Drosophila melanogaster: one gene and its partner. The protein of the gene in region 1 interacts with the protein of each later gene in a pairwise test. Each region holds a gene or a part of one and is shown on either strand. Other genes may lie near its edges.

Region 1 (5,692 bases):
TTACGCATTTGCCCTGCCATATTGCACATTTCCAACGGTGGGGGGAGTGGCGGTGAGCGGAAACAGAAAAGCTGAACTGATTTTTTTTTTTGGAAGGTGACTGCAGCACTGTACTTTTCGAATAGTAACTCCCCGCGAACAGCTCGACTGGAGCTATATATTCACTATATACTTGAAAGTCACTAAACTCAGTGGCATATATTGGCTTTCCAGGCGTGGGATCACAATATTTTTCGCTATGATGGCGACCGGGCAGCGACGCAACGCACTTTGCAGCGCTGTCGCTGCTCTGCTGGCGTGTGCAATTGGTGCGCGATTTTCCGTCCGCGGTTTTCCACCGTAATCCGTTCATCCGCGACGTGGTTCCTAACCTAGCCGCGACCTGGCGTTGTCTTCTGGCCGCATTTTCACAATTATTACGGATTTTCGGAATCCCGATTGCGCTGCCAGCAGAGGGAACACACATACAAACATTTTCCACGACTAGTGCGGGGGGTTGTTTTCGCTGTTGGCCAACGCAGAGGCTGCAATCCGCACTTTTCCTGATCTATATGCACCGACTTGGCCAGGTGGGCGTCTGCGTTTTGCTAGTTTGTTCGCTTTTCGCTGCTAATTAAACGTTTTCAGCCATCAGAAGTGCCCCTAAACTCACACACTGGCACGCACACAATCGCACTGGGTTCGGGCACTGGGAACTGGGCACCCTACACTGGGCAAAAACTCACTGTCGTCATAGGAAGTCGTTGGAAGACGCGCACGCTCGGTATGTGATCGAAATGAGTGTTCCATAAAACCACCGAGCACGGCACTGGCGAGGTGGCTTTAATGCGAATTTACTTTTCTGATTTCTTTCTCCGATGTCTGCGTTTTTTCCTGCTACATGTGTCCAGTGTGACCCGTCGTCGAAGTGCCGGAAACGTCGATCTGCCCCACAAAAGTTCGGGAAAATACCAGCCACCGTCCGCGTTGTGCAGCACTGGCCTTCAAATCAAACACAGTTTCTTATCGGCGGAGGTCGACGAATCGGATCTCGTCTTATCGCCGACCCCCCGTTTATTGTTTCGTTTCTGTATTAGATTCAAAATCAGTTCGGTCATAGGCGTTACTCAGTCTAGCCGGCGCCGCGTTTAACACTATGCCGGTTCAGGGACAGGACTTGAAACATCCATAGGATCCATCGAGCATATACGCAAGGTTTCCTAAGTACGCTTTTTTAATTAATTTTATGAAATGTGTTTCAATACAGTGGTAAGCTAAAAAAAGAAAGTTTGGCATTCTACAAGAGTGAATTATATTCTAAGTTATTAATATAAGTAAGTGAGCTCTTTTATTGTTTTTAGAATACTGTGTGTTAATTTAAGCCTTGGCTTTAAGAATTTGAATTTGTATAATATATTTAAAATAACCAGTAGACATAAGTATTTAGTTAACGGTAATGCCTATGAAATTGTTGTTGCTCAACTCAACAAATCAGCAGAAAATGAAATAAATACGCAAACTGGTTTCTGTAAAATACATTGTTTATGCAAGATCAATAAAAAAAAAACAAACATCCAAGTTTTAAAGTTCGTAAGATTGAACAAAATGGCGGTTTTCTTGGGAAACGGTATTCTTTGCAACGTATTTGGAGCCGTCGCACTGCGTGATAAAAAAAGTGCAGTCACGGTCACACTGGCGAGCAGAATTTCATACGTTTTTGTTTCCTTTTGGCCATATTTATTATTGTTAAAATTGGAGCAATGCCAGCTGCTGTGCGCAAGTTCCGCCGCGAGACCAGTGAAATCAGCTGCTGTCTGAAGTACCTTTTGTTCGCCAGCAATGTGATCCTGTGGCTCTCGGCCCTGCTGGTCCTCTCCGTTGGCATCTGGGCCTGGAGCGAGAAGGGCATGTTCCGCAACATTGCGCGGCTGCACTTCATCGCCCTGGACCCGGCCTTCGTCCTGATCATCCTGGGAGGCGTCACCTTCCTACTGGGCTTCATGGGCAGCGTGGGCGCCTTGCGCGAGAACACCTGCCTCCTGGGGGCGGTGGGTACCACATTGTTAGTGGATCCCCTCTGGACCTAGTTAATCCTTATTTTTCCGCTTGCAGTACGCCATCTTCTTGAGTGTCTTGCTTATCGCAGAGATCGGCTTCTGTGCCGTGGCCTTCGTGCTCAAGGACAAGGGCTGGGTGAGTTCCATTTGAAGGCCACTATTCTAGCCAGCCATTACTAAGGTTTGCCTTTTCCAGATCAAAGACCAGGCCACCGAGGGACTCAAGGCCTTCATTCGCCACTATCGCGAGGACGCAGACCAGCAGAATCTCATTGATTGGATCCAGGAGGATTGGTTGCAGTGTTGCGGCATTGATGGTCCCAAGGACTGGGACAGCAACAACTACTTCAATTGCTCGTCTATCGCTATTGGCAGCAGGGAGGCGTGCGGAGTGCCATTCTCCTGCTGCCGCAGACGTCCGCAGGAGGTGATCAAGAACAAGCAATGCGGCTACGATGTACGCAAGGAGGGATATGTAAGTCCGCTAGCTGTTTTCCCCCGTCTTTCCGAAATGCATATTGAAATTCACCCACGAATCGTACGCATGCAGCCGGTGGATAGGAATATACATGAGCGTGGCTGCTTGCGCGCTGGCGAGGATTGGCTGGAGGCCCATCTGATTAGTGTGGCGATTGGCTGCGTGGCTCTGCTCGTCCTGCAGGTGCAAAACATTTCTATAGTCGTCGTTGTATATTTCTTTTTGAATCTTTGAAAATTTTAAGTTTAGTGTAGTTCAGATGAGAGAATCGTTTTTAAGGTGGTCCCATTTTTTTTAAAAATATGGTTTTTACTCGTAGTAGTTACATCTTTTTGTTTTATAATTTCCCACAGACTTTATATTTATTTTATTTTTTTAATTTCTTACCAGGGCATGGAGTTGTCCAAAATAATCTACGAAAAGGGCTGTGTTCAAGCAGGCGAAGAATGGATGGAGCACAACTTGATTATTATTTCCGCAACTGTTATAGTTGTGATGTTTTTTCAGGTTTCTGTTTGATTTTATTATTTTTCTCACTATGACAATAGATAGATTCTTCTTGTAACGATACACTTTTTGTAGATCTTGGGCATTTGCTTTGCTCAGAACCTGCGTGCCGATATCTACACTCAAAAGTCAAAGTGGCACTGACAAATGGCTCTGTCTGCTCCCACGGCCATTTAGAAGGACACCCAAGGTGGCGAAGGATTTGGGAAACTTCGAGGTAAGCCACATGGAGCATCCACCAACTTCAAAATAAGAATCTGTATCTACTCATCTACGCTCCGGTTAGTTAACTATACTATAAATTCCTTGTAAACCCATACTAGGGTGAATCGATTTGGATGCACGATAATCGTTGATAGAATCTAGTCAATGATCAATTCCTAATGCTATTGCCAAAGTAACTATGTTCCGGAAATTACGATTCACCCTTCGCTTTTGATCAGAAAACACAAATGCCTATGGTAAACCCTGATTTTCGGGACACACGTTGTATATTGATATTGGCATAAAATGTTCATTGATTAGGTTTCTCTCCCACGATTTATCTATTTTTTGCGTCCATAAAATCGACCCAGTTTAACCCATACCCCCATTTATACTCAAGAGTACGCTATGTGTCTAACTAAAGCAAACGCATTCCGTCTTCGTGGACATTGACTAATATTAACTAGGTTGCCAAATTTGTTGCTGTTTTTACGTCGGCTTCCCTTTAGCCCAAGAACAAATAAGAAAAAGAAGAGCAAAACATTTTAAATAGATTTTCTACACATTTTACAAAGAAAGTGAAAAAGGAGTCATAGGAAAAATGAAAAATTTATCTTGAAATGCAGCTGTGATATATTTTTAAAGAAAAGTATAGAGAAATCGAAATTAAATGCAACAATTTCCAACAAATCGAATGATCACACCACGAATCTCATTCCTAAACTGAACAAATACAACCTAGCACAACACATATTTGTCTTCAAAATAATAGTTATTTTTATAAGCGAGAAACAAAAAACACAGTTCTGTGACAAATGTCAATATCACAGATCGTAAAATGGAAGAAAGCAATACCACTTGCATATTAATATTAATGAGCTTGAACTAAATTTATGCACAACAAATGGTAAGCTTTACAGCATATGAATATATTTTTGCAACACGCAATTATAATTGAGTAAAAAGTAAGCCAATTGCTGGTTTAACTGCTTGATATCGCACTTGTAACATGATTCACAAGGAAAACATTGATTCGCTCTTGTACCTTTTTAAATCTATATTGCAAAGAGACGTAGTATTGGAAAACTCCAATGTTAGTATTATTTATACTATTTCGCAAACATTCTAATCAAAAGCAATGGAGATTATAAACAACACTGCCCCGAACAGAGTATTACGTTTTTGTGTTCACCAAATAGCTGAAAGGTCCAATTAACTGACAATTGGATAACTAAAGAATTTGCCAATCTTAGTCAGTTTAAAACGATAACTAATTCAACTAACAGTATCCAAACGTTTTCCTAAACTGTCTTAAACTTTAAGAACTCAGTCTGCAAACTTGTATTTATAAAACAGTTCATACTTTTATTGCTGTTCAATATTAAACGTGAATAGAAGTCGAAACTCAACGCCTACATTGCTGCAATGCTCAAAAAGACGATAGTTATAATAAAATGCTTTTACCTTAAAAACCATAAGTACATAGAATGTTATTAATGATACAAAATATGCCCAAAAATCTTGTATGTACACTTGCAACTGAGCAATTGGCCAGATGTGGCAGCTAATACACTTTTTGGATATGTAAAAAGTTAACTTTATGGCAGCTATTGGGTGTATATCCTCTTTAGAGTTTTCCATATAAACATCTGGCCAAATTTTCATGTGCAATGTTAAATTACTAAGCCAATAAAATCACGAACATAGTACGATTAATAATGTGTAAAAGCAAAAAAGTTAACATTCTGCTATAATGGTAACGAAAAAAAGTCAATTGAAAATAAGCTGGAGATCGATAAGAGTCAGTCAAGCACAGATCAACAGCATTTATTAAGGCGTATATAAACATAGATTTATAAGAGTTAGAAAATTTATAATAAAGCTTAACGAAGGTTGTTGACACAAGTATCAATCAAAAACGCTTCTAATAAAGAAATACGGAATAACAATGCATACAAGGCTCATCATTTAAGTGGAACATCACCAGACTCTCCGTCCAGCTGAGCAACTGCGTCGAACTGCACTGCAGGTAGATCCTCGCCAGTTGCTGTCTTATTCGCTCGTTGGTACTCAAGGATCACCAGAGAGTTTTCACCCACTTTCAGTATCTCGTTGGGCACATATAAGGTGACCTGTGGACCTGCCACAGGCCAGTAGCGTCCCAAATTAAAACCGTTCACATAGGCCACGCCCTTGCCCCAACCGGCCATGTTCAAATAGGTGTCGCCCACCTCCGTCACTGTCAGGCTGCCAGTGTAGAGTATTGGTCCGTTTCGAAGAATGCGTTGCCTTGCCAGCAACGGGTCCAAGGCCTTCTCGTCAGTGTGTTCGCGCCGCCAGAGCTCGACGGCGGATTGCTCCAGCGGGAAAGCGGTGCTCCGCCAGTTCTCCAGCGGGAGGTAACCACCATTGTGCAGCTGCAGGCTCACCTCACCAAAGATGCCCTTCGTGTCGTTGGAGATGTAGA
Region 2 (2,696 bases), on another chromosome or scaffold:
CTGGACTGCATCCTGTTTTGGGGTGGGGGCTGGCGGATTGGGGATTGGGGATTGGGGTTTTGGGGTTCTGTTTTAAGGGGGTGCCACAATTGCAGCAACTTATCTCTCGCCTGCCCATATAAATAATGACAAGCACGACGACAAATAATAACCAAACGCACACAGGACATGCCGCAGGACAATAGGCCTGGGAGAAAAATAGGGTCGAGGTAAGGACGACTACTGTCTGTGAGTGAGTGTGCATAATATGAAAATTTATGTGCGGAAAGGATTGAAAATAAATTTATGAATTATATTGGTTAGAAAATTGCATCTACTCAAGGATATCCTTAATGTCTCCAGGATATGCATGTGTTCAGCTAGGCTTGCTCATTGTTTTTGGGGCTATCTGTTACATTCAACAATGTCCTGATTCAATTTATTGTTTGTTTGATTTGCATTCTGACCGGAGACACTCGCCAGATATGTGCCTGTATATCCCTCTATAGTCGTATATATAAAGTCCTGCGTCCTTTGTGCCATTTGATTAGCGATAACAGCTGCAATTTGCGCCGAAAGTGCTTTTCGAATTATCATTGACAAAAATAAGAATCCTAAAAAGTAACACACGCAGCCAAGGCTTATCGTAAAAATCCAATAAAAGTGGGCCACAGAATTCGGTTTGGGGACTTTTATGATTTTTTCCCCTGTTCCTGCTGACATTTGGTAGTTTATGACTGGATTTGGTTTCGATGCAGAGAGAACAAAAAATAATTCAGTTCAACACGTTTTAACTTTATGCGTACATAATAATAATAATAATAACATTAGTATCTGCTATTTGTATATCTTTTAAGCATTTTAAAAGGAATTTTAGTGTTTTGATATAAGATTTTATATTTGAGATTGCTTGCTTGCTATGTAGCAATGTTTTTTTTTTCAGTGTTGCAAATATGTCAAAGTTCAGTAACCGTATTCGATGGGGGATTTTGAGTAAGGTAAAAGGAACTGGTCATAAAACTTTCCCGACACGTTTATGCCTATCTGGGTTGTGGATCTGAAATCTCAATGCCAATCCAAATATATATCCACATTCTGTGGCAGTTCATCAAATGCTCGACGACAAGTCACGAGCGCTGCAATCTGGAGTGGCTTATGGCATTAGTTATTAGTTGGGGGGTGGTTGGTATATCTGCTTATACAGGAGGATACATTTCATTAGTCAGACATCACAGGCGCATTTTACAGAGACGTGTTTCACTAAGAGACCATGTGAATAAAATGAAAACGGTGTTTGGTACTTTTGGTAAAAAAAAAAAACAATCACCAAAGGCATAAATATTACATATCTCTAGTTTCTCGAAACTTTTAAAATCGCTCAATAAAATTCTATTCGCATTGGAATAAACATTGTTACCTCGACCTAGACCCAAAGAATTAGGTTCATTTGAACTGCAACCGATTCACAGTTGTATGATCGAAAATGAGAGAGCTCCAGTGCACATGATAATTGCAGACGAGTTGAAATAATGTTATTACAAAATCAACACCTCAATTAGATATTTAATGTGACACACCAATTACGCAAGCAATTACAAATATACTCTTAATATATTTGTTTGAAATCGGTTAAACAATTGGTGGCCCATAAAAGCGAGGTGTTCGAGGCCAATGTCAATCATTCCACATCAAGATGCGTTTCTGTCTACTGTTCCTTTTGGCCATGAGCTGCTGTCTGCTGGTAACTTAAATGCTCGATAACATTACAGATTGCGCATATTCGAAATATTCGTGCCCTTTATTCTAGCAATTCTCCGTGGCTGGAGTGAATTTGGTGCGCGGACTGGAGGCTGCCGGTCATCATCGCAACTTCACCGGCTCACCACCACCGCGTGGTGCTCCTCCACCACCTCGGACCACCACCGCCAGTTCTTCGGGTTAAATAAATTGAAAGCAAAACACGAGAAAACTGGCAAAATTTCCATTGACGGACGATTTAAATGAAACCTACCATTATGTAATCCTATAGCTTCAAAAAATATAGAAAAACCATTCCAGCAAAAAAAAAAAAAAAATAGTTCCAGTGTTTTAAACCACAGTTTTAGTAAATATTCGTTTTTATTTATTCGTAATTGGCAATATATCTATCTTATCTCGTTTTAAGATACTGAAATGAATTCATTGAAATATAAAATTCTACATTTTGCACAATTTGCATCATTTATTATCTAAAATCTCTTCGCTTTTGTGAGACTTTCATTATTGATATGTAACGTCTGAAACCATTTGGCCGGACTTCCCGCGCGGCGATTAAAATCGGCATTAATTTGACAAAAGTTCAACGACAAAAAAAAAATGAAATTAAAGCTATCTGATGTTGGAGAGAAAATACAGTATACATATATAGGCTGGGCCATACCCTACATGGCCCATGGTCAGAGGTGAGGCTGCAATTTGTGATCGTATTTGTTGATACAACATATCCAATTGTCCGTCGTCATTGTGGCCAATTGAATGGAGCTGCAAGAAAAGCGAACTATAAAAATGAATGGAAGCGCCGTTGAACACAATCAGTTGTTTGGGGGAATTCTCGGGCCGAGGATCACGATGAGGCAATCCATAAAGCACATATTCGCACTGTTGGTTGCCCTGGAGTGTTTAAGCCTTGGCGACACGGCGCCCATCGGTGAGCATCCGGATCATGCCGGATGTATACG

Evidence for each region. Proteins that work in one complex are often made in the same cells at the same time.
Region 2: the proteins of Tsp26A (region 1) and CG32726 interact in a two-hybrid assay, tested with the Drosophila melanogaster proteins (one large-scale study listed by BioGRID).

The regions. Positions count from the first base shown.
Region 1 is NT_033779.5:5,998,573-6,004,264, forward strand, and holds Tsp26A (tetraspanin 26A), read left to right. Parts: upstream 1-1,655; 5' UTR 1,656-1,739; coding exon 1,740-2,027; intron 2,028-2,091; coding exon 2,092-2,172; intron 2,173-2,232; coding exon 2,233-2,511; intron 2,512-2,586; coding exon 2,587-2,697; intron 2,698-2,904; coding exon 2,905-3,021; intron 3,022-3,096; coding exon 3,097-3,165; 3' UTR 3,166-5,166; downstream 5,167-5,692. Other genes in the region: Gal (beta galactosidase), read right to left, coding at 5,190-5,692.
Region 2 is NC_004354.4:7,424,703-7,427,398, reverse strand, and holds CG32726 (uncharacterized protein), read left to right. Parts: upstream 1-1,655; 5' UTR 1,656-1,672; coding exon 1,673-1,720; intron 1,721-1,786; coding exon 1,787-1,921; 3' UTR 1,922-2,179; downstream 2,180-2,696. Other genes in the region: CG15036 (uncharacterized protein), read left to right, coding at 2,587-2,696.